5 linked regions of the Xenopus tropicalis genome follow. The protein of the gene in region 1 purifies or fractionates together with the protein of each later gene. This does not show direct contact. Links are inferred from orthologs where the notes say so. Each region holds a gene or a part of one and is shown on either strand. Other genes may lie near its edges. The genes, in order: hscb, suclg2, iscu, sdhaf1 and sdhb.

What was found.
Region 2: the proteins of hscb (region 1) and suclg2 purify together in Homo sapiens (affinity purification with mass spectrometry; 3 studies listed by BioGRID and IntAct, with this or other methods). This does not show direct contact. The link is inferred for Xenopus tropicalis from reciprocal best matches to the Homo sapiens genes HSCB and SUCLG2.
Region 3: the proteins of hscb (region 1) and iscu purify together in Homo sapiens (affinity purification with western blotting; 3 studies listed by BioGRID and IntAct, with this or other methods). This does not show direct contact. The link is inferred for Xenopus tropicalis from reciprocal best matches to the Homo sapiens genes HSCB and ISCU.
Region 4: the proteins of hscb (region 1) and sdhaf1 purify together in Homo sapiens (co-immunoprecipitation; 3 studies listed by BioGRID and IntAct, with this or other methods). This does not show direct contact. The link is inferred for Xenopus tropicalis from reciprocal best matches to the Homo sapiens genes HSCB and SDHAF1.
Region 5: the proteins of hscb (region 1) and sdhb purify together in Homo sapiens (co-immunoprecipitation; 3 studies listed by BioGRID and IntAct, with this or other methods). This does not show direct contact. The link is inferred for Xenopus tropicalis from reciprocal best matches to the Homo sapiens genes HSCB and SDHB.

What each region holds. Positions count from the first base shown.
Region 1 is NC_030677.2:150,463,331-150,468,581, reverse strand, and holds part of hscb (iron-sulfur cluster co-chaperone protein HscB, mitochondrial), read right to left. Parts: intron 3,411-5,251; coding exon 3,314-3,410; intron 2,141-3,313; coding exon 2,051-2,140; intron 1,445-2,050; coding exon 1,300-1,444; intron 364-1,299; coding exon 316-363; intron 1-315.
Region 2 is NC_030680.2:143,113,364-143,119,560, reverse strand, and holds the end of suclg2 (succinate--CoA ligase [GDP-forming] subunit beta, mitochondrial), read right to left. Parts: intron 2,994-6,197; coding exon 2,878-2,993; 3' UTR 1,449-2,877; downstream 1-1,448. UniProt on the Homo sapiens protein: GTP-specific succinyl-CoA synthetase functions in the citric acid cycle (TCA), coupling the hydrolysis of succinyl-CoA to the synthesis of GTP and thus represents the only step of substrate-level phosphorylation in the TCA.
Region 3 is NC_030677.2:146,312,100-146,318,656, reverse strand, and holds the start of iscu (iron-sulfur cluster assembly enzyme ISCU, mitochondrial), read right to left. Parts: upstream 3,862-6,557; 5' UTR 3,833-3,861; coding exon 3,743-3,832; intron 1-3,742.
Region 4 is NC_030684.2:131,182,528-131,187,376, reverse strand, and holds sdhaf1 (succinate dehydrogenase assembly factor 1, mitochondrial), read right to left. Parts: upstream 2,407-4,849; 5' UTR 2,319-2,406; coding exon 2,064-2,318; 3' UTR 1,967-2,063; downstream 1-1,966.
Region 5 is NC_030683.2:131,924,975-131,931,673, reverse strand, and holds the start of sdhb (succinate dehydrogenase [ubiquinone] iron-sulfur subunit, mitochondrial precursor), read left to right. Parts: upstream 1-3,127; 5' UTR 3,128-3,207; exon of another isoform or gene 3,208-3,208; coding exon 3,209-3,274; intron 3,275-6,699. Other genes in the region: padi2 (protein-arginine deiminase type-2), read left to right, coding at 362-598. UniProt on the Homo sapiens protein: Iron-sulfur protein (IP) subunit of the succinate dehydrogenase complex (mitochondrial respiratory chain complex II), responsible for transferring electrons from succinate to ubiquinone (coenzyme Q).

The sequences.
Region 1 (5,251 bases):
TGTGTAATTTTAGAGGTTTTTCAACCTTGACTAAACTCACATTTTTAAAAAGTACGAATGTGTCCTTATTTATTAAAAAAAAAAAAAATCAGTATATAAAAAACACCAATAAATAGAAAAGGGAAATGAAAAAAATATGAATGTTGACAAATCTGCCCCTTACTGCCAATAAATCAATATACCTGTATGTATCCAGACAACAGTTGAATTACTGTTTGTATTCTTTGTTTGAATTTGCCATTTCTGGGAAAGCAAATTCTATTTTCAGTCATTCATGATATCTGCAAACATTAAAAGATCAACTAAAAAATGTACCTTGCTGGAAAGCTTTTCTCAAATCCTTTGTCAATGACACCAACTGTTCTGTGAAAAACATAATTCTGGTCATTAGCAACATTTTTCACAGAACAAATACTATGCATATCTTGTATACGGTAAAAAATTTACCATATATTCAACTGTAAAGGTAGTCTACTGGCTTTTCCATGAAAATTAAAGCATTTGAAGCAAAATGGTGAAGCATAAGTTCCTGCTGTGATAAATGAGCTTTAGGGAAACACTCAATAGGCTTAACAAGTGCTGAACAAAAGCCCTTTACCACAGGAATGAGCTTCAGCCAGAGCAAATTTAGTCTGTAGCTGGCCTCAGATCACTTATGCTTGGCGAGTTCCCCCCTAAGATAAATGGGCACTGGTTGTAGGTTTCAGGCTTTATTTAAACAAACAAAAAGAGCAATGCAAATACATTGGTTGGAGATTTTAGTTATAAAAAGTGTAATTCATAGCCAAATAATATATGTAGGCCCCCTACTGGCAAGCAGCAATAATCTGCCAAACAGGTAGGCGTAAACTGGGTCTGATTATTTCTTTATTTGAACAAACTCTTAAAGCAGATGTTAACAATGCAGGGGATTGCAGCCCGAATCTGAGGTGTGAACATTGCAGGGGGGCAGTTAAGCTCAGTACTGATGCTATTTACACAAAGGTAAGCAGTCACACCAGCTAGACAGATGGGGGGCCACGCTCTTGAGTTTTGCCTTCACTGTTAAGGTCAAGTGAAACATTTATCCAGGCTGATGTAATCTAACTGAAGATCAACAGTTTGAAATATACACATAAAAGAAAAAAAGGAATAGCTGGCTCAGGCCAATTCTAAAGTTCTGAAGAGGAGTAAGGCTCTTGTGTTAAGTAACTGTTCTAATAAAAATGTTAAAAAAACTTCTGTAACTTCTGGGTCAAGACAGAAAAATGAGTCCTATAAGAATAAGAAGCAAATATTGAATAAGGAGCCAGCCTTTACCTTGTACAAAATGTCCAACTTCTTCAATGTCATCCTTAGTTTCTGCATCATTTAGTTGTTCATTAAGCTCTAATATATCAAAGAGAAATTGTGTATCCACTTCATCGTCCGCTCCTTCCTTTAATGTTATGCCATTCAGACTTAGCTTTGGGAAATAAATAAACATGCAAGGTTCACATTTTTGGAGCTCCAATTTATCTTCAGCAATGTATAGATCCCACTATAATATAAAGCAAGTCAACAGCTAAAGAAGATACCAGAAGGTACTGTCATTTATTACAGCAAAGTCACCCCTCTGCTTTAAAGTGAAGCAAATACATGGATTAATCTAAGAATACATTCAAAGCAACATTAGGTAGCTGAAATACTTCTTTCCATATTAGGGAGCAAGAAGCATAGAAGTTTCCTTAACCAGCCATGCAAGATGGGCTTGTTAAAGGGTAAGTGACCCCAATTAAAATCAAAGTTGTCCTTCAGAACACTTTTGCAGTTTACATTATTTTTTTTCTTTCTTTAGTTTTCATATAAGACTTTTTTTTTTTAATTACAAAGTTTTACATGAGATTTGTTAATTAAGCTTTGTTAATTGACTACTGGTTAGTACATACCCACAACAAGTAGTAGTTAAAGGTAAAGGTAGGTAAATGCTTAAATATTGGAAAAAAAAATACAATTTATATATATATATATATATATATATATATATATATATATATATATATATATATATATATATATATATTAAGTTTACCAAATATACTCCTCGCTTTAAAGGTGATAGAAGGGTTTTGTAAGCTTTGTTAACCACTGTTGACTGCTTTTCTGATATGTTCCGTTCACTCTAAAAAAAAAGAATAAAATGTGTATATAAATTCCATGCCCACTTTTTATAATGATTTTCAAATTATACTGTAATTAAAAACAAATCAATTAAAAATCTTAAAAGGAGGTATGTTTGAAGACTATCATCCATCATCAGTGTCTATTTAGGTTACAAAATACTGTGGTTTTCTTATTCAGAATTGACATTGGGAAACAAGCCTGTAGATTTTCTGTAAACATTTTCATATATCTTTATGTCCAAAAAAGGATTTTTGACAATAGAGCTTGTAAACAAAAATTGCTATTTTTCTTTAAATTATAAATTAGAGCTGGGCGGTATGACCAAAAATTTATATCACGGTATTTTTCAAAATTATATCGGTGTCACGGTATTTGACGGTATTATTTTTTCCATGCATGATTAGGTGTTAACCCCATTTCCTAATAAATTAGAGAATAATTACTGCAGTATTGAAAGGCAAGCGGCAACAGAAAGTCGTAAGGTAAATCAGGCAGGCTTAGTTTCCCAGACAAGGCCGCAGACAACATAGCACAGGAGGAGGCGTTTGATAGCTTTAAATTCCCCCCACGCATGCGCAGAACCGGCGCCGTCAGCGCGTCGCGGACGTGCACGCTTTGACATGTACGTGCGCTTTGACGCGCGTGCACCTGGACACGCGTGCGCAACGTCCCGTGGACAACGGGACGCACGAGACCGGGCCGCACGCGTGAGTACCCTGACACCCCGGTATGGCGGTATCTGAAAAATGAATATAGTTTTTAAAAAAAAACACCGGTATTCGGTATTAAACGGTATATAGCCCAGCCCTAAAAGAAGTCAGCACTTATCAGAGGGTTCAGTGCTGTTCTTCACAGTTCACAGTTTCGAGCAGAGCAAGCAGCGCCAACTCATGGATTATTTAAATGAAGAATAAAGGAATATAAGCATAAGCAATTCTAGCACTGCTCTGGCTCGTTCCTGTTACCTGCTGCCAATCTTTGCAAAGAAGTAGTGGAGGTGGGGTTGGCGACCCCTCTCCTCCACTCTCCTCCAGACAGCTTAGGACCCAACCTCAGGTTAGCTTTAGCTTCTTTTTTAAATTTAAAGAAACCTATCAATTTCTGTTAATTATCGAAACACAGTTCTTATTTTGGCAATAGGAACTTGCTGAACAGCAAACAACTTGTTTACCTCTGACTTCTGGCTGAAGAAATCTGGATGAAGCAAACGCTGAAGATTGCGGTATTTTCTTTGCAGTTCCTGAGTGTCAACATTAAATGATTTTTCACTGTAAAGACAAATCAAAAACACAAGACATTACTATCTGCAATGAACAGTTACAAAATAGTCCCGAAAACAAATGATTGATGAGTGGTACTGTATAAAAAGTTTCAATTGTAAAACACTGGTAAGGTGGGTTTGTAATTATGTCCACTCCAACTTACACCTTTTTTCTTTCAAGAAATTATACCCTGGGAGGTAGCAATGCAACTTATCAAATTTAATGACAAGCATATATTTCTTCAATTTAGTCTCTGGGCTCAGACAACGGACATGGATTGAGTTAAAGGGGTGGTCCACCTTTACATTAACTTTTAGTATGTTTTAGAGTGTCCTATTTCTAGCAACTTTGCAATTTGTCTTCATTATATATTTTGTATAGTTTTTGTTGCACTTGCTTTCCTCTTCTACACCTTTGTAACATTTAAATGGGGGTCACAGACCCTGCCAGCTGAAAAACGAATCCTCTGCTAGCTCACAGTTTTATTATTATTGTTATTTTTTTTTTCCTTAACTTTCTATTCAAGCCCTCTCCTTCCCATTTCTGTTTCTCATTTAATCCACTGCCTGGTTGTTAAGGTAAACAAGCCACTAGCAACCAGTAACTTAAAACCAGTTGCAAATTGTCTCAAAATATCAATGTTTATGTCATACTAAAAGTTAATGTTAAGGTGGACAGCTCCTTTAAACATAATCAATGGCAATCAACGACTGTCACAAGAGCAGGATTATCAGATGAAAGGTCATCTACATGTACATCTATATCTGGTGTCCCTTGATGAAAAATAAAGCAACAGTCCAGGGAGTTTCTACAGCAGTGCTGGAATCTTACATACTGGTACCTCCCAGTGAAGAAAGGGTTTCCACTCATGACACAGAGTCTGTGCCTAGAAAGTAGCAGTAGTTTGGGAGCTGTGGCTTCCTCGCATCAACAGACTAAAGGTGGCCATACACTGGCTGATTGTAGCTGCCGATATCGGTCCCTTAGACCGATTCGGCAGCTTATCGGCCCGTGTAGGGGCAGCAACGACGGGCATGCCTGACCAATTTCTGCCCTGAATTTGGCCAGATATCAATCGGGCAGGTTAAAAGATTTAGTCCGATTGGGGATCACATTGACTCGTTGATGCAGTCCCCGAACCGACTTTGCCTATACCCGTCGTTATAATTCAGTAGTTTGGGCCCAGGGTTAAATGACCGAATTAGCCTAAATTTGCCCAATATCCCCCAGCCGTAGGCGGGGAAATCGGGAGAAGACCCGGATCTTAACATGTATGGCCACCTTTAGTATTCAAACTTGTCTAACAGATGAATCAGCTGATACACAAAGCACATAGATATTGGTTGAATCCACTGGGTCCCCACACACATACAAATAGTTGTCCAAAACTTAATTTTATTCCACTTCTCAGAGATTCTTTATGCAAGTTATAGTACATAAAAGGTTCAATGGTGCCCTGAAAAATGCCCACTTAATAAACATCCCTGATGCTAATTTAAGATTTTTTTCGTGCTTTAGAGTTACTGGGTCTTTCAAACGAAACCGAGAAATCCCACCCACTAACTGCTTTGACTGTAAATGTGGCCATACACATGTAGATTTTTAAAAGATGTGTTTATACGACCAAGCTTATTGTGAATTGTTTAAAATTATGATTTGTCCATCGACAAGAACAACCATTTCAAGTGATATTGTCTAATTGAAGTCCAAACCTGAAGAGGATGTGATGTATTTGCTTTTGTATACACTGTTTTCAAGCTGTATTTGGTCCTGCAAACAATTTTGTAACATACTATGGACATTATGGTGATTTATTGAAATGAACACTCATATCAAAGAATGAATGG
Region 2 (6,197 bases), on another chromosome or scaffold:
CCTTTATAAGGACATAAGGCCACATAAGCTTCTTCTTTATGTTCCCCATCATTGCTTTGGAATCCCACGTGTAAGGAGCTCGGTATTAAGGATGTGCGGCCATCGGATACTTCCACAGGCAATTACAGTGACGAGATCGGGTTATGGCTCTGTCTGATTCTGTAATTCACATGATGTAAAACTCATGCACTTGATTCTCCCAAGCCCATTTCCCAGGATTCGCTTTCAGGCAATTAATCATTTTGTCATCTACCTGCTAACCTTCTATTTTTGTCCACGAAGGCCCCGTTTGGCGGCTTACACAATTACACACCACAAAACGACCCCCGGCTTCCTTCTCGCAAGCTCTTCATTTTCTCATCGACCCATTTCTGCTTCTCTTCCATGTCCTCTTAGGAAGACTAACAAATGACAAAGGAAGTTCGGCCGGCGCATGATTTTTATGTTCCTCGCGCGCTGACCTTTCTCGGCAAGGAATATAAATGCCCGGTATATAAGTCTATTAAGTGTGACGGATTCCTTATGCCGGAGGCACAATTATAGGGATGTGATTGATTGAGGGACCCGAAAAAACAAGAGCTCCGTGAGAGGATATTTTTATTCAATAGAAAGCAGAAAAAAACCTGGAATACTTAACTCCAATATCTACATGTAAAGTAACCGCAACTAATTGTCTATAATTTCCCCATAAAGTGAATGGACACTTTGCCTTGGACTCCCAACCAACAAAAGATCTGTTTGACGGGTATAAAGAAAAGTAACAGCCCCTTGTAGAGTGTAAGCTCTTTTGGGCAGGGCTCCCTTCACCTCTTGTATCGGTTATTGGTTGCTTTATATGTTACTCCTTGTAGAGTGTAAGCTCTTTTGGGCAGGGCTCCCTTCACCTCCTGTATCGGTTATTGGTTGCTTTATATGTTACTCTGTATGTCCAATGTATGTAACCCACTTATTGTACAGCGCTGCGGGATATGTTGGCGCTTTATAAATAAATGTTAATAATAATAATTTTCCCATAAAGTGAATGGACACTTTGCCTTGGACCCCCAACCAACAAAAGATCTGTTTGACGGGTATAAAGTAAAGTAACAGCCCTCATTAAATGCAACTCCCAGCATCCCACCAACATTGAGGGTCTCTGTGTTCGGGATGAGTGGGCGTAATGTAATGTAAATACTACCCTAGAGAAATGTATTTTAGAGAAGGCCTCAGAGCTTTGGGAAGGGTTCCAACCCAAATATCATCTACAGTGAGACTGAAAATGTCTGTTTTTCCCCCAAGACACTCAGTTTGAAGTTGATTTACGTGAGGTTCGGGGGGGGGGGGGGGGTTGGGTTTACATTTATCCGCTTGTCTAGGTATCTTTTGACCTATGACAGAATGGCTGATCCAATCATCTATAACGAGCTAACACCAACCAGAAGATCAGAGAAGAAACGACACACACAAGGGACAATGGCCGCCAAGGCAATACTCATTTATTTGCTTCAAGTGTCTGTTAAAAAAGGCAAAGTTGTCACTCCTAAAAGTTTAGATGTAAAGTGGTTGACAGAAGACATTAAAAAAAATATTCCTGAAGACCAGCAGCACAGGATGGACCCAAGGTTGAGGTTTCTTGCGGAACATTAACAAAACCCATTAGAAAACAGGGAAAAGTTTGCCCCCAACTCATTAACCCATAGCAACCAATCAGCAGCTATGAAATAGAGTAATTAGTCGTGGTTGTTGGGCTTTTCCAGTCCAAACCCTACTTGGAAGGTCCAACCTTGGTCAGGGCTCCACTTAGGTCATTACATAGTCTCAAGAATATATGAGATTTGGGGTTTTCACCCCAAATCTCACACTCACTGAGCTCCTGGATGGACTCTAAAGTAACTACGAGGACCAATAGGCATTATCCCCAGATCTTTTACTAATTCCCTGCCACCACTTCTTCAGGCTCAAGGTTTGGGAACCACTGACTGAAAATAACAGTTGAACACATCTGATTGGATTGCTGTGGACAACATTTAGGGCACACCCCCTTTATTTAGGCATGACTACATGTCTTGATGGCACAGTTAGAAGATGTTAAGGCTATGGACGGAATACGGAAAAAGTAGACAATCGTTAAAAATAGAGATGTGTTTGAGACAACCTGGCCCGTCTCAGTGTAGGTTACACAGGATAGTAGCCTGTTTAATACAGTATGAGAAAGATACAAAAGTGCTCCTTGTGTAATGACTATATCCTATATACACTCCCCCCAATATTCCCATCTAAAAAGGCCAGGGCCCGCCTCCCAGGGATAGGTGGGAGGTATGTAATCATCACAACCACCAGAAACCCTGTAGCTTCCTACTCTAGCTCCCCAACAAGATGGCGGCTCTCTGGACTGGACTCCATTGGTGGCATATTGTAGAATTTCCTAATGGGTTTATAAGTTTCACCCACAGGAATAAACATTATGAAACTATTTTTGTAAATAAAATTAGAAATGAACACCCCCTTGGCACCTAGTGACCCCACAGTGCACGGAACAAGGCTATTGGCTTTCAGCACCGTATAAAACGACGTTTTTGGCTCATACACTAGAAAAACATCCGGAATTGCACGTAGAACCGACAGTTATTGTATCATTCCCCGTATAAAATTAGTGACCAATTACAGTTTAAATCAGGGATGTCCAACCATCGACATGAAGGACCTGAAGCTCCCAGTGTTAGGGGGCCCCCTGGTGGCCCACCCCCACTTTAAACAACATTAACGACACCCATAATCACTCATACTAGAAATTTAGAGATATAAACATTTGTGGGTTAAAATCAAGTACATTCATTATCAGATGTTCCGCTATTCCGATACGGAGTTTGAGTTCCTGGTAGAAACGGGCAAAGGCGGCTAATTCTTCGCTATGCTCGCCACGGCTTTTCTGGCTGCGTCGTCCAGGTCGTTGGCGGAGGTAATGGGCAGCCCGCTCTCTGCCAGGATACGCTTGGCTTCGTGGACATTTGTTCCTAGGGGAAAAAAAAAAAGGGTAAGTGATTGTTAGAACAAGTTTAATATTGAATTGCTTCCAGAAAGATGGGGTTTTTGGTTAGTCAAAGGGGGTGGGGCTTGGTAGAAGGGCAGGATATTTATGTATATAGTGGGTGTGGCTTTGGGTCTAAAGGTGTGGCTTTTGCAGGTCATGGTTAAACATGTACTGAAAAGAGCCAGACCCTGGAAGCAAGGGCTTTTAATGGAGTACTAAGGGGTCCATATTTGTGCCTTTTAGCTCTCTTCCACGCGCAGCCAGCATCTTTAAAACTACCCCTCGTCTCCTCCTTCTTCTCTTATGAGTAGGGGGGCATTGACAGCAAATGAGGAGTAAGGCAGGGGCTGTGGGCGGAGGTACTCCTTGCATTAGAGGAGGAAGTGGAGGCGGGGTTGGGGTGGGCAGGAGGCACCGTCATGGAGGAGACATGGAGTCTGGTGCACAGATTCTCGGATTAGGAGAGGGACATCACATGAAACAAGGTGAGGGAGGGGTTGGATGACTCTGCTAGCCAGGGCCGGAACTAGGGGTAGGCAGCGGCGGAGGCAATGACCGATCTAATCGCCCTGCCCCCCCTGCACCGCCTCCTGTGCTTTGGCGCGCATGCGTCGTTGGGGGGGGGGGGCGGAGTTGGCCGACTGGGTTGCCTAGGGTACCCGGTTGGCTTGGCCAACCCCTGCTGCCAGCCTACGGGAGGCGGGGAAATAGTCCCTATGTAAGGGCTCATGTAGGCCCACAAATGCAGCTGTGGTCCCTGCAATTACCCTACAGTCAGTTGTGTGCAAAATCACTTTCATTAAAGTTACTTCCATATAGCTGTGCTCATAGTAATGTAGTAAGTTAGGTTGAAAAAAAGACGTACGTCCATCACGTTCAACCATAATGCCTATATATAACCTGCCTAACTGCTAGTTGATCCAGAGGAAGGCAAAAACCCCATCTGCTCCGAGTCCCTACTACTTTTCGTTCCAAGCGCTGCGCCACCCATTGGTGCAAGCGAATCCTGGAGTTACCGCCCCTTCCTGTCCAGGTGGTAGTTCCAGGGTTCCCCTTCACGCCCAGCGTCAATAGGTGCAGCACCCTCATGCCTAAGGAATGGGGCGCAGATGTCCCTCGCATGTTGGACATCAGAAACGACGAAAGCTGACTGCAATAACGCTGGAATTCTGGGAAAAACATGGCAATTGCGTTTGCTCACTGCACCTGCAGATATAACCGCGCCCTATAGCGTTTATGCGCCACTAATTTAATCCCCACTCAATGAACATGTCACAAAGGGGGAGTGTTTTACATTTACAATGAAACTGCCCCCATCCCAAGGGGCACCCCAATAATTGATCCTTTCATCTCAAATCAAACGTTGGATTCTGCCCATTCCTCCCAGAGAGAGGGCTCATATAGAGCAAGGAGATGTCTCGCCCATATAAATCAATGGCGCGGAATCCTTTTCTCCTTGGCCCCCCATGTATCCAGATAAATAACATTTTATATTAACTATTTAAATCATTGCCTGTCTCCCCCCCCCCCCCCCCCCCCATTATGTTTGTGAAAACCACAGGTCTGTGGAGAAGATAAATGTTCCGACTGCTCTTTCCTTCCTTCCCTCGTTGGGGATTTGTCTTTCACAAGCAGCAATTAATGTCAGCCCTGTATTTATATCTTTAATTCTCATTATTACAGCGGCAGCAGCAGGACTGGGGGTGCAAAATTACCCCCCCAAATGTCATGCCGGGGGATGTTCTTATCAGGCGCCAGATGGGCAAGAGATTTGTTTGTTTATAGAAATACGACAACTACAATTGCCTTCCGTCGGCTGCGTTTGTTTGATCATATTCGGTGGCAAAAAACATATTTTAGTCTAAAATTCAATTACCAAATTTTAGAGATAATGTTGTTTTTAAAATAAGTTAGAATTAACCATAAATATATTTGCCTTTCATGCCAAACCCTATGGCCCTAAGGAAAGTCACACAGATTCTTTGCTCTCCTGAATTATCTGTAGGAAAATGCTGCTTTGGCCACTGGGTGGCATCAGAGAGCCACATAAACCCTCAGCGAGTCGCTAAACCCTCCAAGATTCAATGAGACGTGTATTTCCCAGCATGAAAGCAGAATCCGTTTAACTGTTTACAGTTCATTGCCCGGCGCGGTGCCGGTGCCTGCTGCATTAAGCAGAATTGGCCCCAAGTATACCGATAGGTGCATCTGTAGGCAGCGCAGAGTATCCACTGCCCAATGCCATACTCCCCCTAAACGAGTGGATCTTCTCCCAAATCAAAATGGCAACATAGGCGCCGTTGGACAGAGGGCTGCGTCAATGTGGTCCCCGATCTGATGGGAAAATCAAACCTGCCTGATTGAGATCTGCCCAACTTTAGGCCAGATCTCGGTTGGGTAGGCCCATATGGGGTGCACATACACGGGCAGAATCAGTCTGAAGGACGTGAATTGACTGCAGAAATCTGCCCGTGTATGGCCGCCTTTACAGCCCAAAGCTATAAAACTTTTTGGCCAGATTATAATTGTTCCAGAGGGGTCAAATAACTGCCTATGTGGACAACATAGGACACAAACTGCAAGGTCTTCCGGACTTGTGCTTCTTCCATGAATACAGTGTTGCTTACGTTCAGCCGCACTGTATTCATGAGGGACAAGCGGAGAGCCGTATGTGGGTGTCCCTTGGGGTGGCCCCAGCTTGGGCATCCTTCAAACACACAAGTGCAAATGGGGGCAGGCAGCTTTCACTGTTTGTCATAGAAACTGCCCCCAATTGTTGTTTAACTACAACCCATCCCTCTAAAGCCAAAACCTGTATATTGACAAATGCATAAGGCAAAAAGATATAAGGTATAGTTAGTAAGGGGAAAACCAGAGGAGTTGGCTCGCATGGCTCTATTATGTGGAACACAAAGCCTTAAGGCTACTAAGAGACACCATGGGTTAAGGCACTTTCCCCAATATGTATAAAAAAAAAAAAAAAAGGCACTAATTTTGCCCAATATAAGTAACCTATAGCAACCAATAAAATGTTTCCTTTTAAAAAGGTAAACTGACCAGTGCAATTTTGCCTGTTAATTGGTAACTATGGGTTATTGCAGCCGGGCAACCTTAGTGCCTTTTATTACATAACCCCCTTAGTACCATAAAATCCTACCGAGCGCTGATCCTATTTCATAGCCATAAA
Region 3 (6,557 bases), about 4.2 Mb from region 1:
CTGGTTGGAATGTAAATAAAATGCTGGCGCAGCGCTGATACCATTTTTTCCCCACAGGCCGGTGCAGTTTTCTTATAACAGGAGCACCAGCCTGGGGAAAAATAGTGATCTGTTTCACTGGAGGTGCCTAATCCACAGCTTAGAGCAGTGATCCCCAACCAGTGGCTAATGCGCAACATGTTGCTCCCCAACCCAATTTTCTATTTAGAAGTACCCAATTAGCACATACTACTAAAAAAGTATATTTTTACGAAAATGGTTTATTTAGATGAAGCAGGGTTTTACTTATGAACTTGTTTATGCAATATATTTTTATAGAGACCTACATAGTTTCCTTTAAATTGTTATTTTTTGTTAACTATTTATATGGCAAAGATTGTTTATGTATTGGTTAATGTGAACATATTTAAGTGTTTTAGAAAAGGTGAACAACCTTTTTAAGTCTACTAAAAAACTTTAAACAATAAACCCACTAGCAATGTTGTGCGACCAATATGGATTTATGCAGCTTAGTTACCGTAAAGTACATGGCATTGTTTTATTACTACTGAGAGAAAGAAAATCCTTTTTACAATTTGCTTAAAATGGAGTGTGCAGACTTTCTGGGTATTGGGTTTCCAGATACGAAATCCCATGCCAGTATACTAGTATCACTAGTCTAATTTTGTTTAAATTTTGTTTAATCAGAGTGAGAGGGAACCTAGGTTGTCATACAGCAAATGTACCTTTGGGCACAACAGAAGGTTTATATCATGCACATTGAGTACAAACATATGTACAGGGGTTTAGTCACCATTTAAATGCTGAGACAAAACAACCAAGCATCTTTAACAAGCAGTTATTTTTGCATGCAGAATGGTAATTTTCTTAACTGTCTGTTTAGAACACACATTTGAAGCATCGGCTTACACTTTGCTACAGATAGATGTATTGATATAAAACCCATGATGTCATAGCTAATGCATCAACATTTTGTAGTCATTTCCAGTTTTATCTTCTCTTAATAGACTTTCATTAGTCCTTATAGAGTCTATTAAGAAGACAATATTTCCTTTGTCCTTAGAGGTGATGTTAATTTAAACAGTTAAAAAATATGCTCTTGAGTGTAATGCAAATAATTCTGAGGCCTGTAATTACACTGGGACAGAAACACAGCAATCTGTATAAATATGGCCAAGGTTACTTGGCCATCTTCTGTGCCCTCTATGATTATGTGACAAGTGACAAATTAAAAAGAACTTGTGGTCTGAACAAGTCACAAGATGTTTACTTCTGCTGCTAATCTTGTGGCAACAAAAAGTCACACATGGTTGCAAATCTATTACAGATGCCAGGGAACAGTGCCAGAGAACAATGAAACCTACACAAACGTAAGCTTGGCCACAAAATCTGAAAAAGTCTAATTAAAGGAGAAGGAAAGGCTAAATCACTGAGGAGAGTCAAATGTTAGGCACAAGGCACCAGTGATTGTAATCACTTACGTGAAACCCCTGGCTGGTGCTCCTGTTACACAGGCAGGTGAGCGATCCTCTTCCTTCCTAACATTTTGGCACCTACCAGTGATTATAACTTTTGTTCTCCTTTAAATTATTACTAACAAAAATGAATTAGTTTAAAAAAAAAAAAAAAATCTGTACAATGTTTTTTTTTTTTTATTGCTTGCTGTGAAAAACTATGGAGTACAAATGGTACTATTCAGCATACAGAGATACTGCTGTTAATAGTGAAATGTTCTGTCACTATATTGACCCACATTTTTATGCCAGCCTTGTTTACAACGTGAATACAAACATTACATTTCTGTAAAATAAGCACCAAACCACTTTTATTGAAATGCTAGATTTAACCCTGTTTTAGGGAGCACTGCATATAATTAGTTAGATCTAGGCCTATATGGGTTAGGGCAGTGACTCCCAACCAGTGGCTCGAGAACAACATGTTGCTCACCGATCCCTTGGATGTTGCTCCCAGTGGCCTCAAAGCAGGGGTTTATTTTTTTAATTTCTGGCTTACAGACAAGTTTTGTTTTTTTTTTTGCATAAAAACTATGTGCACTGCCAAACAGAGCCTCCTGTAGTCTGCCAGTTCACATAGGGGCTACCAAATAACTAAACACAGTCCTTATTTGGTAGCTTATGTACCTTAACTTTGGTACAAAAGTTTTTGTGTAAAATTGCCATTTGCTCAGTTAGTATATAAGCTGCAAATTTAATGGAAGGCAATGAATGCTGAGCCCCTGTAAACACTTGCATCAGATTTTATCTTGTAAACAACAAACATCTGTAATATCTATAGCACAGGCATCACAGTGCTTTAGTTCTTTCAAGGAGAGTTACAAAGGTCAAAACACCTATCCTGACCCATACTTCATTCCCATTCAAAAGAATGGCAAAATCCCTATCTATACTATGTGCTGTCGTATTAACCATCAGAGCATTTTAAAAGTCATATATCTCTAAATTGTTTTAAATACTTTTAACTTTTACTAAATACCGGTGCCAGTGAATATGGGTGTTTTGGTCTTTACCAAATCACAGGATTGCCCTCATCCAGGAAAGATGTAGTTAAATATAATGTCAGGTCTGCCAATCAACTAGCAGCGAAGGAATGAAACTGACCACCCCCAAGATGAAGATTAGCTATCATGCCACAATCCAAATTGTATGTGTTGTTGACACAGGAAAGCAGCCAAAGGAAATAAAGTGGCACAAATTCTTAATGAAAACAAAAAGTAATTTAGAGATGTATAATTTGTTTTTGACAAATGTGTTTTTGCTTGCCAAAAGTGCCTTGTATGAGAAACTCACAACAGGTATTGACAGAAAGATAGCCATGCATACTTTTAATGATATTTTTTGCAAAACTGTCTATAGGGGCAGAAAAATAAGTCTGAGAATTTGGCATCACAACCACAATATTTCCTTTTCCTGAATTCTCCCGTAAATGTCCCCTCATAACCTTGAAACACTTCAGCTACCGTAGTGGTGCAGTGAATTATATTTATATATGTACATTTGATACTGACACTAAAAAACTACTCTTCAAAATACAAATGTCCACGAAAAGTTGCCTATAGGTCATGTTGCTCGTTTTTTACCGAAAGAGCTGCATTTGTGAGTAATTGTTACTTGAAGTCCTAAACCAGTTTTACCAACCTGACTGTCCCTTCTTAGCCAGTCAGTTATAGCTTGTAATTCTAACGGACAGCATGATGAATACTTTTCTGGCAAATTAATCAATAGCATGCAAAGCCTATGGTATGACAGAAGTAAAAAAAAAAAGAATACATTTTTGATGTCAGTATCTCTTATGGCAAACATGTCTTACTTAGCATAAAGTTTTACCATATTCCCTATACCCTCAGAGTGCTAGAGTCAGTCATTGTCAATTCCTATCAGTTGCTAACTCGGCTTCTCTCTTGAGACACCTTTTCTCTCAAGCCATTCGGGGAAGTGAAGCTGACAACCCCACTGGCTGCTGTTACTGTATTTCACCACAACCGAAGCTGACAGCCTTCTATTAAGAATTAAAACGACTCATGTTGTAGTCCTCTGTAAAGATGGTTACGGTGTTAAAAGATAAACGTGTCGGCTTGCATTGGCAATAAGTACTTTATAGTATGGGCTGCGAGGCGAGCGCTGTCACTGTGACACCTGTGTCACCTTATGTAACACTCGTTTCCTGCTCCCACACTACCCTGTTCCGTATTGGCCCCGTACGCCCCACGCACAGCGCTGCATACCTTCTTATGATAAGAAGCACAAGGCACCCGAAACTCGTGCACCCCACATTTTCTCCATAAGGAGCAAAACACCCGGCCCACGCCAGCCATAGCGTCCTCCACTCGCGCAGCTAGCAAATAGGGACGCGGCGTGCCAACGCCACACAACGTGCGGGTCACATGGCCTGAGGGGGCGTAACCAACAATAAAGTTTGTTGCAGCCAGGTTGCGTAATAAGGTTCAGCGTTCTATTATGTGTAACGTTGAAGTGTGGAGCTGTCATGTACTTGGGCTTTAGCTCATTCTGCAGGGATAAGTTTCTTTTGTTGCCCTATAACTTTATTAGGTTTACCAAGTTCAACCGCAAAGTCAAGGGACTCTTTATGCCTATTATCGCTAACGTGGAAGTGGAATTGATGTAGTTTACATCCAGTAGTGTAATAAAGTAGCGCGATATCGGAGTTGGTTTTGGTCAGTTTTTTATTCCAGGCTAGAAGAACCTTTGTACGTATTTGTCATAGACATGGGTGTCCGCAAAAACTGCGGGGAGGAAGAGTCATTAAGTAAAAAGCAAACTGTGTTTTACGTACGTATTAGGTTTATTAGCAAAGCCTGTAACGCTGCTCGCAACTAATAAGTGTAGAACCAGGGGGCTGTTTAAAGTGATGGCTCACCTTTTATTTCACTTTTAGTTTGTTATATAAAGGCCAATTCTATTAAACTTTTCAATTATATATTCTTAAGTCTTTATTATTTGTTTCCATAGTTTTTGAATTACAGTATTTGCCATCTTGTTCTCTTTGCAGCTTTTAAAAGGGGATCACTGACACCTGAGACAAAAAAACTATTGCTCTGTGAAGCTACAGTTTTATTGTTTAATTCTTTTCTCAAGGAGCAGGTAGCTGAGAAAAACCAAGGACAAGCTGGGCAATATGTTACATTTCAACACCGATCTGGGTCAGGTGTGTAGAATTCTAGGGGGGGGGGGGGCAAGTGGCCTTCCTTGCCTCTTTTTGCAGAGGCCTATGGCCATGGACAGTTTGTGCTGGGCCAAGTCGGCTGGGCATCCTAGGCAACCCAGCCAGCCACCTCACCCCTTTGCATGCATGCATGCATGTTGACTACTGGGGAGGTAAATGACGAGTGGGAAGTGGGAGGACAAGAGCCCAGACTAGTGACAGGTTACATTGTACCCTGGGCACATGCCTCTTCTGCCAGACCCATTTCTAGCCCTACAGAAAGTCACTATATATTGGGCTGGTGCAGGGTTGCTTGGGCCTCTATGTGCTTTAAATCAGGGGTTCCCAACCACCGGGCCGGGGACAGGTGCTGGGCTATGGGCTGTGCTGAATCGGGTCACCTCTGGTCCCACACAGCCATGACAACAGCTATGCAAAGCCCAGGAAGCTTTCTACTGATTGCTACAAGGACCAAAGTACTTAAAGGAGAAGTAAAGGCTACCAAAGAGTTAATCTCAAGCTGCAGGCTTACCTTCAGTTGTCTCAATAGTGCCCTCAAGTCTCCCCATATTGCAATCGTTCAGATGATCAGAAGCCAAACGTGAAAAAAAAACGCCGAGCTGGGTAAAGAGGATTCCCATAATGCATCGCTCCTGCACAGACCCTATAACCCAGGACACTAGGCGGCGCATGCGCATGTCTCTCTTCAGTGACACAAGCAGGCATGCTCCCCTACCATCTGAGCTGGCCCCTATGAGCGTGCACCATTAGCCGGACACAGAAGGAGCAGGCGAGTGCTGCGGGGAGCAGGGGGGGAAGTTTGGTCGCCGCAGGGACGATGCTGGGGGGAGCTGGAGGATGCGCATTTAGGTGCACAAAAGATCCAAGATGGCTGACGCTACAGAGTGCAAATAGAGCAAAGTTAAAAGGCACATTTTGGGAGAAGGGAGCATTATTTTAAAAAATAAAGTTGGCAATCTACTACAGGCAAGGGGGCTCTACAATATATTAAGGGCTATAGTAGAAGCCTTTCCTTGCTCTTTAGAGCTCCATACTAACCGGCAGGGGATGTCACCACTTAGGTAAGAGTAAGAAGAGCAAAGGGGCTGGGCGCATCTAGTTGCAGGGAAACAAGCTCAGGTCTCCCACTGATATTATATATGATTATGTATTATGATAGCTGTATTAGATTTTATAATGTAGTAATATTAATAAAATAAAGTGCATAATATAAAATGAAATAATTACATTTACATTATATATGTAATAATTAAATTATATACTATGCACTAGTTGCGCCACCCCCCATTCCCGGTCCTTGGAAAAATTGTCTTGCTGGAAACCAGTCCTTGGTGCAAAAAAGGTTGGGGGCCACTGCTTTAAATGACAGGAACTATTTTGAATCCTAGTTAGGGCCTGCACTGGTTCCATGTGCCAATTGTTCCCCTGACCCACACAGAGACATTTTGGATGTCCCAAACCCATGGCATAGCGATATGAGCTTGGCATCCACCGCAAAAATGCTGAACCCCCACCACATGGGGAGCAGGTTCAGACCCCACTATTGATTTTTTTTAAGGCATTGAATTGTGCTTTTGGGACTAGAAATGTTTAATGTAAAGCAGTGCAAGTGTGTTGGCATAGCTACCAATGTGTGACTGTAGGGTATTGCAACAGAAAAACATGACACAGCCCTAAAGCAGACCATACACGTAACAATTTTTCCTTTCTTAACTATCAATTCCAGTGTGATATGACAAAACCATCAAATTATCATAAGGGGAGCGTGCACTGAGTGATTTATATCTAGCAATCTTTCATCTGATATCAGTCAGAAAATCTATCATGGTATATTGAAATTGCTCATTAATTAGGGC
Region 4 (4,849 bases), on another chromosome or scaffold:
TTGTATTAATGTATTGTACTGTACAGCGCTGCGTACATAAGTAGCACTTTATAAATAAAGATATACATACACACATACCTTGGAATAAGGATTTTACCAGCAGGATTTTGCATTTCATATGCCATTTCACTTTGGGGGCATTTCCTGAGGGATAATTTTAGTTTGCACAGAGAAACTATCATTTTTTTCTATATTTCTGTGTAATGCCACTTCTGTAACAAGATTTAAGGGTCTAAATACCTTATTCTCTAGCCCCTACTCATTACTGGGCAGCAGCAATCAGGCCCCCCCACCAACATGCCCGGTGACTAGAGCTCCAACAGGACTAGGGCCCAGCGGGTTTTTATCCACTGCCCTGTTGGGCCGTCCAACCCTGTACCCCAATATCCCAAAATGTGCATAATTATGTAAATGTGAGGTAAAAACTTTATATATATATATATATATAAATAATATATATTATAAAAGTAAAAACTTTAGATATAAATTGAAAATCACTGTTTTACATGTTTATAAAATGTTAATGAGGCTTTTTGCACCTATTGTTCTAGGGTCAGACAGATACTTGTCCCCTAACAATAGGCTGCTAATCCCCATTAATATGTTAACGATCCCCCAATGGGGCCCCTACCTTAGGTCTGAAATGAAGACTGGGTGAAACAAAACAGAAGATCTTAGAATTGATCTAACAATATATTATATATTATAGATACAATAGATTAGATTAGGAAAGGGAATCTATAAATTATATCCCACTGATAGGCCCTGAATCAATATATAAACAAACAACAAATATTTCAGTGAGATAAAATAACATTTAATGGCTCAAAATTAAACAAACAATTTCAAATGAAACAAACCATACTATACCAAACAATGGAAAGGTGCATCCAAGTGTCTCATGGTACCCACTCTCCTAACACGTTTCGCACCAATGGGTGCTTCATCAGAGGAGGTGTGGCATGTTAGTGTCACTTCCTTTTAATACCCCCAATATATCATTTACACAGTGTACAGGGTTAGTATCTAACCCTGTAATAAGCTCATATTATATCAGCCATTTAAAATATACATATCCAAGGGCTGCAGAAACCACCCTGTTTATATGTGAGATTGCTGTTTAATTTTGAGCCATTAAATGTTATTTTATCTCACAGAAATATTTGTTGTTTGTTCATGAATTGATCTAACAGAGTAAAGCTCTGTTTCGTACGATATTCTGTGCGTGTATGGCAAGTCAACTGATATCGCAGGAGGCTGCTATTGGTCGACTTGCCGATCGGACCGGTTAAAAGACTTAGATCGGGCTCCATAGAAGGCGCCTGAGCAAAATCTGCCGTCAGGGCTGAATTGGCAGAAGGAGGTAGAAATCCTATTGTTTCTACCTCCTTATCTGCCCTGAACGGTTAATGGCCGATTGGTCGCACAAAAGATCGGAAATCACCACGTGTGTGGCCACCTTTACACTGAGCTTTACTCCATTTTGAAAATGTTGGGAAAAAATGTTGTTTAAACGACAAATTCACAAAAGTGTCTGTAAACTGTCTTTCTTTCACCAAAAACGGAAAAGTGGCGGTTGAGTCGGAATTTATGCGGATTTCTGTTTGTGAATCTGAAAAAAAAGTGTTTTCCACCAGTTTTTTCACCACTTTTACTACAAAAAAGGTCTCTCTCCACTTTTGTGAATTCCCCCCATGTCTCTTTACTCCAATTTACTGCTAAGTTGCCACAAGGTTCAGATCTTAGTGCTCCAGCCTTTTACTTTGAGAAAGGTGGCAGTAGTGTATTTAATTGCTCATTATCAGCTCTATTCTGACATGCCCAGCTTTGCTAGCCTTAACTATTCCTCTACAATACACATGAAAAGCCATCACTAATATGCAGTTTATGGAGGCGGTCATGTTTATAAAGCACTATGAGGTTGGTACATTTGCAAACATCCTACCAAAGGAATACAGAGGCCAAGTAAGAGCAAACAACTTGTTATAAATAGTATAAATAATTTATATACAAAGAGTAGTTACATTTGTACCAATATCAAATCTTTTTTATAAGAAAACATATTAATTGTTCTGATTGGTTGGGGATCTGATGAAGGCTCCCAGTTGCTTTGTATTTGCATCCTGTAGTTGCTGCAGTTGCCGTTGCCCCCGCCGCAGAAGGTACTCTATGTGCATAACATCAGTCTTTGGAATTTTTGCATTTCTTCTGAATTCATCTCTGATTCTGGGTACAAACCCAGGTTTCTCTTTGCCGGCTTGTAAAAACTGTCTGTAAAGACTCAGAATCTGCTTTTGTAGTTTGCTGTGTCTAACCATTGTGCCTCCTCACATCTATGTTAGCTTAAAAGTTCAAGTTTAAAGACATTAGTATAATTTTCTACTGTAAAAATATTTCCCTTGCAAGCGACTGATTCATATATGAGGGAAGCGCTGTGTTGCCTTGAGCAGATGATTTGTTTCCTTCTTCAGGCATCTTGGTCCAGGGAACCTCTACAAAACAAGATGGAATTCATGATTTATATACCACAGCAATGAGTAAGTACAGGACACATTATAAAGGCCAATAAACCTCTCCACGTTATCTGTGCAAAGGGTTAATTAGTATAACTCTTGCAACTACAGCCTCCTACCCACTGTGTCATCCAGCCACACATTGGCTGGATGAGGATTGGCCAGGTCTGATTTTCCGTTTGGATCAAGGTATTGACAGGTACACAGTGCACTGATGTGGTCCATAATCCAATTGCCTGCATAGCGGCAAATATGATATGTGGGCATATTGGGAAAAAGATCATCCTATATAGAGACAACCTTCTGCCCTGGCCATTGCATCCCTAACCAGGGTTGCCAGGTTGGCAGTTTTTCCACCAAATTAGGCTACTAATTTAAAGCCCTGGTACAACCCCACCAAGGTACAGTTTTGGAGCCTTGGCACATTTGTACTTTGGAAACTAGCCAAAGTTTTTTCCCCTAGTATGCTTGTTCCACTGCATGCCGGGTAATGTAGTTTGTATCTAACAATTAGCCTACAGCTAGGATTAATATATATCTACAATACCCAGAATGCAATTGGACAGTATAGACAGAGGCTCCGTTTTGTATTCCTTTGTGCTCTTTCAGGCTCAACCTGTATGTTCTACACCCTGATCTTTAGGGTATGTGGTTGTTACCGTTACTTTCTACTGGGATGTGGGGCAGTTCTACCCCCTGCTCCCTGCTCTATAGGGTATGTGATTGTACTGTTACTTTCTACTGGGATGTGGGGCAGTTCTACCCCCTGCTCTATAGGGTATGTGATTGTACTGTTACTTTCTACTGGGATGTGGGGCAGTTTTACCCCCTGCTCCCTGCTCTATAGGGTATGTGATTGTACTGTTACTTTCTACTGGGATGTGGGGCAGTTCTACCCCCTGCTCCCTGCTCTATAGGGTATGTGATTGTACTGTTACTTTCTACTGGGATGTGGGGCAGTTCTACCCCCTGCTCTATAGGGTATGTGATTGTACTGTTACTTTCTACTGGGATGTGGGGCAGTTCTACCCCCTGCTTCCTGCTCTATAGGGTATGTGATTGTACTGTTACTTTCTACTGGGATTTGGGGCAGTTCTACCCCCTGCTCCCTGCTCTATAGGGTATGTGATTGTACTGTTACTTTCTACTGGGATGTGGGGCAGTTCTACCCCCTGCTCCCTGCTCTATAGGGTATGTGATTGTACTGTTACTTTCTACTGGGATGTGGGGCAGTTCTACCCCCAGCTCTATAGGGTATGTGATTGTACTGTTACTTTCTACTGGGATGTGGGGGCAGTTCTACACCCTGCTCTATAGGGTATGTGATTGTACTGTTACTTTCTACTGGGATGTGGGGCAGTTCTACCCCCTGCTCCCTGCTCTATAGGGTATGTGATTGTACTGTTACTTTCTACTGGGATGTGGGGCAGTTCTACCCCCTGCTCTATAGGGTATGTGATTGTACTGTTACTTTCTACTGGGATGTGGGGCAGTTCTACCCCCTGCTCCCTGCTCTATAGGGTATGTGATTGTACCATTACTTTCTACTGGGATGTGGGGCAGTTCTACCCCCTGCTCCCTGCTCTATAGGGTATGTGATTGTACTGTTACTTTCTACTGGGATGTGGGGCAGTTCTACCCCCTGCTCCCTGCTCTATAGGGTATGTGATTGTACTGTTACTTTCTACTGGGATGTGGGAACAGTTGTGCAGTTGATCATTAAATGAGAAGGAAAGGCCAATAAAGAGTTAATCTCAAGCTGCAGGCATACCTTCAGTTGTCTCAATAGTGCCCTTAAGTCTCCCCATATTTCACTTGTTCAGAAGTTCAGAAGCCAAACAGGTAGAAAAAACGCTGAGCAGGGTAGAGAAGATTCCCATAATGCAACGCTCTTCCCCTGACTTCATGACTTAGACTGTAGGAGGCGCATGCGCACACAGCAGGAGCGCTCCCCCTAGCAGAACGTGTAAGGCTAATGCCACACGAGGCGTAGGGCTGAAATTTTCGGCAAGCGGAAAAACGCTTGCCGAAAACTCAGCCCCAACGCCTGCTACTTGTGCCTGCACCCGAATGAAAGGGATACGCTCGGGTGCAGGCACATGTAGCCGATATACGCATGAAAACGCGAGAGTTTGCATTCTTGCGCGTTTTCATGTGTATATCGGCTACATGTGCCTGCACCCGAGCGTATGTGGCATTAGCCTAACATCTTGTTTCCTACATCTCAGTAGAATGTACCTTACTGTGTATTCCCTACATTATGCCCTGCCATTAAGCACAGCTCGTTTAATCAATATGTCATACTGTCCTGTAACCAGGCCCGGATTTGTGGCGAG
Region 5 (6,699 bases), on another chromosome or scaffold:
CAGGTTATGGGGTTCCCTACCAAGAGAGGGGGAATGAGTGATACATTTGGGGTGGGGGGAAAGGGGATCTCACCATCAGCATAGGAAGGGGTTCCTTACTGTAAGGGCAGTCAGGTTATGGGGTTCCCTACCCAGAGAGGGGGAATGAGTGATACATTGGGGGTGGGGAGGAAAGGGGATCTCACCATCAGCATAGGAAGGGGTTCCTTACTGTAAGGGCAGTCAGGTTATGGGATTCCCTACCAAGAGAGGGGGAATGAGTGATACATTGTGGGTGGGGAGGAAAGGGGATCTCACCATCAGCATAGGAAGGGGTTCCTCACTGTAAGGACAGTCGGATAATATGGGGGTGTCTCGGCAGGTGAATATGTTGGTGCTGGGGAAGGAGCTGGGGATCCCCAAACCCTACGGGCCGGTGATTAAGGAGAGCTGCTGCCTGGAGGATCACATGGTGTCACTGATGAAGCCGTTCGAGTTGAACTGCACGTTTATCGAGGACTTTACCTCGTACCACAAGAAGTTGGGGGAGGTGCATTGCGGCACAAACGTGCGTCGGAAGCCGTTCCCGTTCCAGTGGTGGCGGATGGAGGAGCCGTAAGAGCCGGACCCAGCAGGGGACCTGTATCTGGGCACAATGGCTCCAGTAGGCATGGGGGCGCCCCCTACTGATAGGGTCACACAGTGTTTCCCAGTCAGGGATCGACCAGTTTGTGCCTTAAAGGGACCTTGGCCCGAGACTCCTCCTCCCCGGTGCCGCCTCTCTATATATTTTAGCCTATAATAATCAACCAATGGGAAGAGAGACAGGGGGCTGGGCCTCATTCTCCTATACACCCCCCCCCCCCCCAGTCTGTACAACTCCCTGCAACCCCTGAGGGCAAATCACTCACGGAGGAAGCCGGGCTCAGAACCAATAAGACAATAGGCTGTGATTCATGGCAACCAATCAGATGTCTGCTTCATAGGACTAATGGGCAGGAGGTGGAGACAACTGCAGATTGGTTGCCATGGTTACTGCCCTGCTTCTGTAAGTGCCCAGTTAATCAGTGTAACCTTATTGGAGGGATATAGTGCAGGACGAGTGCCCCACTTAGCTCCGCCCCTATTCCCATGGTGCCTCAGTAACCAATGATTGTCATTTCCTTTACTAACTCGTTATTCCAGGAACAAGTTCTGTTTGTTTTCTGTAATAAAACTTCCATTGTGTTACGTTCTGTGCCTTTAATTTCCTGCTGAGTCTGCCCAGTTACCCCCTATATACCCCCAGCGGGTGGGTCCTGCCCCACAGTGTCTGGTGCCCCCAGGAACCTCCCCCTGGGTAAGTGAATCCAATCTCCCCCCAGTACTTACCCAGGTACAGAGCTCTGATTCTCTGTACTTCCTGCTCCTGGGCTGCTCTCTTTCCCATGGTCAGGCAGGAACCCCCTGGGTAAGTGAATCCAATCTCCCCCCAGTACTTACCCAGGTACAGAGCTCTGATTCTCTGTACTTCCTGCTCCTGGGCTGCTCTCTTTCCCATGGTCAGGCAGGAACCCCCCCCTGGGTAAGTGAATCCAATCTCCCCCCAGTACTTACCCAGGTACAGAGCTCTGATTCTCTGTACTTCCTGCTCCTGGGCTGCTCTCTTTCCCATGGTCAGGCAGGTACCTCCCCCTGGGTAAGTGAATCCAATCTCCCCCCAGTACTTACCCAGGTACAGAGCTCTGATTCTCTGTACTTCCTGCTCCTGGGCTGCTCTCTTTCCCATGGTCAGGCAGGAACCCCCCCTGGGTAAGTGAATCCAATCTCCCCCCAGTACTTACCCAGGTACAGAGCTCTGATTCTCTGTACTTCCTGCTCCTGGGCTGCTCTCTTTCCCATGGTCAGGCAGGAACCTCCCCCTGGGTAAGTGAATCCAATCTCCCCCCAGTACTTACCCAGGTACAGAGCTCTGATTCTCTGTACTTCCTGCTCCTGGGCTGCTCTCTTTCCCATGGTCAGGCAGGAACCTCCCCCTGGGTAAGTGAATCCAATCTCCCCCCAGTACTTACCCAGGTACAGAGCTCTGATTCTCTGTACTTCCTGCTCCTGGGCTGCTCTCTTTCCCATGGTCAGGCAGGAACCTCCCCCCTGGGTAAGTGAATCCAATCTCCCCCCAGTACTTACCCAGGTACAGAGCTCTGATTCTCTGTACTTCCTGCTCCTGGGCTGCTCTCTTTCCCATGGTCAGGCAGGAACCATGACAGTTACACATAACTATAAACCCAGTGAGAATGAGGGATGAATGGGTATTGGGGAGTTGTATCAGGAGTCAGAACCAGCAGTGCAGGGAAGGGAAAGGGACAGACACAGTGACAGTTACACATAACTATAAACCCAGTGAGAATGAGGAATGAATGGGTATTGGGGAGTTGTATCAGGAGTCAGAACCAGCAGTGCAGGGAAGGGAAAGGGACAGACACAGAGAATGAGGGATGAATGGATATTGGGGAGTTGCTCAGATTTATACTTTCATTAGGTTTTATATCTCCTTTAATTTCCTTACACTTTGCTGCCATCTGCTGGACATGGGCAGAGTTGCCCCTCACGCTGCGGCAGAGACAGGAGTCGGAGACTCAGAGGGGCAATAACCTTTAACCATTTCCTGACTGAGGCGCTGCCCTTATCCAATAGATGCCCCTGTCTGTCCTTCCCCCAATAATAGCTAATAACAGGGGGCGACCTTTTATATCTGCAGCTCAGCCAGTGAATTTGGGGGGCAGGGCCACTCTATGCATGCTGTTAGTGCCCCGCCCACAGGGACAGTTTGGCTCCTCCCACTTGTCCTTTATTGCTTTTGCTGAGGCTTTACTTACCCTTTAAAAGGTCTCTTCCCCTCACCCACCATGGCCTTATTGGTACAACAATTACCCCAGGGGCATTTATAGTAATATTGCGCACTAAATCGATGAGACGTTGCTATAGCGACTAGCGAGAGGGAATTACACAACCAGTTACTCAACATCACATGACCATGAAACACCGCCCACTTTTATTTGTGAGTAAACCATAGAGATCGCGGATCCGGGCTAGAGCGCCCCATCCCCCCATAGAGCTGAGAGAAAAGGAAAACGGACGCTCTAGCCCCGAGCTCCCTCTCTCTGAGCGGGAAAGTAACGCCTCTCTATGGTTATAGCCCCGCCGCGCTGCATTGTGGGAGGCTGGCGGAGTTACTGGTGTCAGAGGAAATATGGCGGCGGTCGTGTTCTCCTTGAGACGTAGCGGGCCGGTGTTCCGGTTACCGGGAGTCCTGCAGGTCAGAGCCGGGTCGGGAGTGGGAGCAGTGACCGTGGGGCTGTCTGTCCCGGTGTCATGTCTGTCCATTCAACTGCAGCTTATGCCTCTGCCCAGTATTGGCCCCTAGGGGCCCCAGTTCCCTCTCATGTTGCTGTCAGTGCATAGGGCCCCCCCCAGGTTCTGTGTAGCCTCTGTCAGTGCCCAGTATTGGCCCCTAGGGGCCCCAGTTCCCTCTCATGTTGCTGTCAGTGCATAGGGCCCCCCCCCCAGGTTCTGTGTAGCCTCTGTCAGTGCCCAGTATTGGCCCCCAGGGGCCCCAGTTCCCTCTCATGTTGCTGTCAGTGCATAGGGCCCCCCCCCCAGGTTCTGTGTAGCCTCTGTCAGTGCCCAGTATTGGCCCCTAGGGGCCCCAGTTCCCTCTCATGTTGCTGTCAGTGCATAGGGCCCCCCCAGGTTCTGTGTAGCCTCTGTCAGTGCCCAGTATTGGCCCCTAGGGGCCCCAGTTCCCTCTCATGTTGCTGTCAGTGCATAGGGCCCCCCCCCCAGGTTCTGTGTAGCCTCTGTCAGTGCCCAGTATTGGCCCCCAGGGGCCCCAGTTCCCTCTCATGTTGCTGTCAGTGCATAGGGCCCCCCCCAGGTTCTGTGTAGCCTCTGTCAGTGCCCAGTATTGGCCCCTAGGGGCCCCAGTTCCCTCTCATGTTGCTGTCAGTGCATAGGGCCCCCCCCCCAGGTTCTGTGTAGCCTCTGTCAGTGCCCAGTATTGGCCCCCAGGGGCCCCAGTTCCCTCTCATGTTGCTGTCAGTGCATAGGGCCCCCCCAGGTTCTGTGTAGCCTCTGTCAGTGCCCAGTATTGGCCCCTAGGGGCCCCAGTTCCCTCTCATGTTGCTGTCAGTGCATAGGGCCCCCCCCCCAGGTTCTGTGTAGCCTCTGTCAGTGCCCAGTATTGGCCCCCAGGGGCCCCAGTTCCCTCTCATGTTGCTGTCAGTGCATAGGGCCCCCCCCAGGTTCTGTGTAGCCTCTGTCAGTGCCCAGTATTGGCCCCTAGGGGCCCCAGTTCCCTCTCATGTTGCTGTCAGTGCATAGGGCCCCCCCCAGGTTCTGTGTAGCCTCTGTCAGTGCCCAGTATTGGCCCCCAGGGGCCCCAGTTCCATCTCATGTTGCTGTCAGTGCATAGGGCCCCCCCCCCAGGTTCTGTGTAGCCTCTGTCAGTGCCCAGTATTGGCCCCAGGGGCCCCAGTTCCATCTCATGTTGCTGTCAGTGCATAGGGCCCCCCCCCAGGTTCTGTGTAGCCTCTGTCAGTGCCCAGTATTGGCCCCCAGGGGCCCCAGTTCCCTCTCATGTTGCTGTCAGTGCATAGGGCCCCCCCCAGGTTCTGTGTAGCCTCTGTCAGTGCCCAGTATTGGCCCCTAGGGGCCCCAGTTCCCTCTCATGTTGCTGTCAGTGCATAGGGCCCCCCCCCCAGGTTCTGTGTGGCCTCTGTCAGTGCCCAGTATTGGCCCCTAGGGGCCCCAGTTCCCTCTCATGTTGCTGTCAGTGCATAGGGCCCCCCCCCCAGGTTCTGTGTAGCCTCTGTCAGTGCCCAGTATTGGCCCCTAGGGGCCCCAGTTCCCTCTCATGTTGCTGTCAGTGCATAGGGCCCCCCCCCCAGGTTCTGTGTAGCCTCTGTCAGTGCCCAGTATTGGCCCCCAGGGGCCCCAGTTCCCTCTCATGTTGCTGTCAGTGCATAGGGCCCCCCCCAGGTTCTGTGTAGCCTCTGTCAGTGCCCAGTATTGGCCCCTAGGGGCCCCAGTTCCCTCTCATGTTGCTGTCAGTGCATAGGGCCCCCCCCAGGTTCTGTGTAGCCTCTGTCAGTGCCCAGTATTGGCCCCTAGGGGCCCCAGTTCCATCTCATGTTGCTGTCCCATTGCCCCAGCCCCCAGTCCCTATGTACTCTGATCCTGGGGAAGGGGGTAAAACTGAATGAAACCATGGTAACCAGGGGCAGAAGGGGCTATTGGGGGGGCCCCATGTGGGAAGGTTCGTCTCTTAGAGCTCAATGGGCCAGAAAGGAAGTTCTCCCTGATACTGTAAGTAGCCGCTGGGCCCGGTATGTAACCCAGAGTACCTGTGCTGCTATTGGCTCCTTCAGTAATTAGGCACAGGGTCACATGGTCTCCGGCAGCAAAGGGAGGAGCTCAGTGACCTTGACTGTGGCCCCATCATAGGAGGCCCCCTTCCAATACCAAAAGGTGCCATGTTATTTCTGGGGCCCCCCAGAGCCAGAGCGAGTCCTCAGCCAATCAGTTCTTCTGGCCTGACAGCCCCTAACGGGATGGGGCAAAGGGTGAGTCTTTCAACCCTCCCCCCACCCTGGGGCCCACAGTGCTATTTGGTCACTTTTAGTCCCTCCGGCCAATACCTGTAGTTCAGTGAGTAAGTGCCACTGGGTATTTAGGGCGGGTAATTACCCACAGGAATAAACCATTGCGCTCAGGGGACTTTGCCCTTCCTGGGTGTTATTTTCCTTTACTCCTCGGTGCATTTACTTTCCCACTGACCTTTATTATCAGAGAAATCCCATCATGCACCATTCCCTATTAATATCACTCATTGATAATAATAATCAGTACAATAAAACATGTACTTTCCACCAATAGGAGGCAGGTGCTGCTATAAATCCCCCCGGCCTATAGAGCGCAGCATTTAGCAGACACGGCCCAGACCCAATACTGTTAGTACATCCCGGTGATCCCTAACGAGATCTAAATGACAGAATGGGATCAGAACCAAAATGCAGCCGCCGCCGTGCTGGGAACTGCTCTCTAGTGTGGTTGGTGCTCAGGGGAGGTGTGTAGGCAGCCGTGAGCCAATCAGAGCTCAGCTTTTTGCCCTGCCTGCCCTGATGACTTAGGGCTAAACATTTCATCAGATTATGTGGGTCAGATTTTATGTGATCATGTGACCAACTGCATGAGATTGTGTGGGGTCCTACAGAACCGTGAATGTGATAGGGACCTCAGATTGTAAGCTCACTGGGGCAGGGGCTGATGGGAATGGGATAGGGACCTTAGATTGTAAGCTCACTGGGGCAGGGACTGATGGGAATGTGATAGGAACCTTAGAGTGTAAGCTCACTGGGGCAGGGGCTGATGGGAATGGGATAGGGACCTTAGATTGTAAGCTCACTGGGGCAGGGACTGATGGGAATGTGATAGGAACCTTAGATTGTAAGCTCACTGGGGCAGGGGCTGATGGGAATGTGATAGGGACCTTAGATTGTAAGCTCACTGGGGCAGGGGCTGATGGGAATGGGATAGGGACCTTAGATTGTAAGCTCACTGGGGCAGGGACTGATGGGAATGGGATAGGGACCTTAGATTGTAAGCTCACTGGGGCAGGGGCTGATGGGAATGGGATAGGGACCTTAGATTGTAAGCTCACTGGGGCAGGGACTGATGGGAATG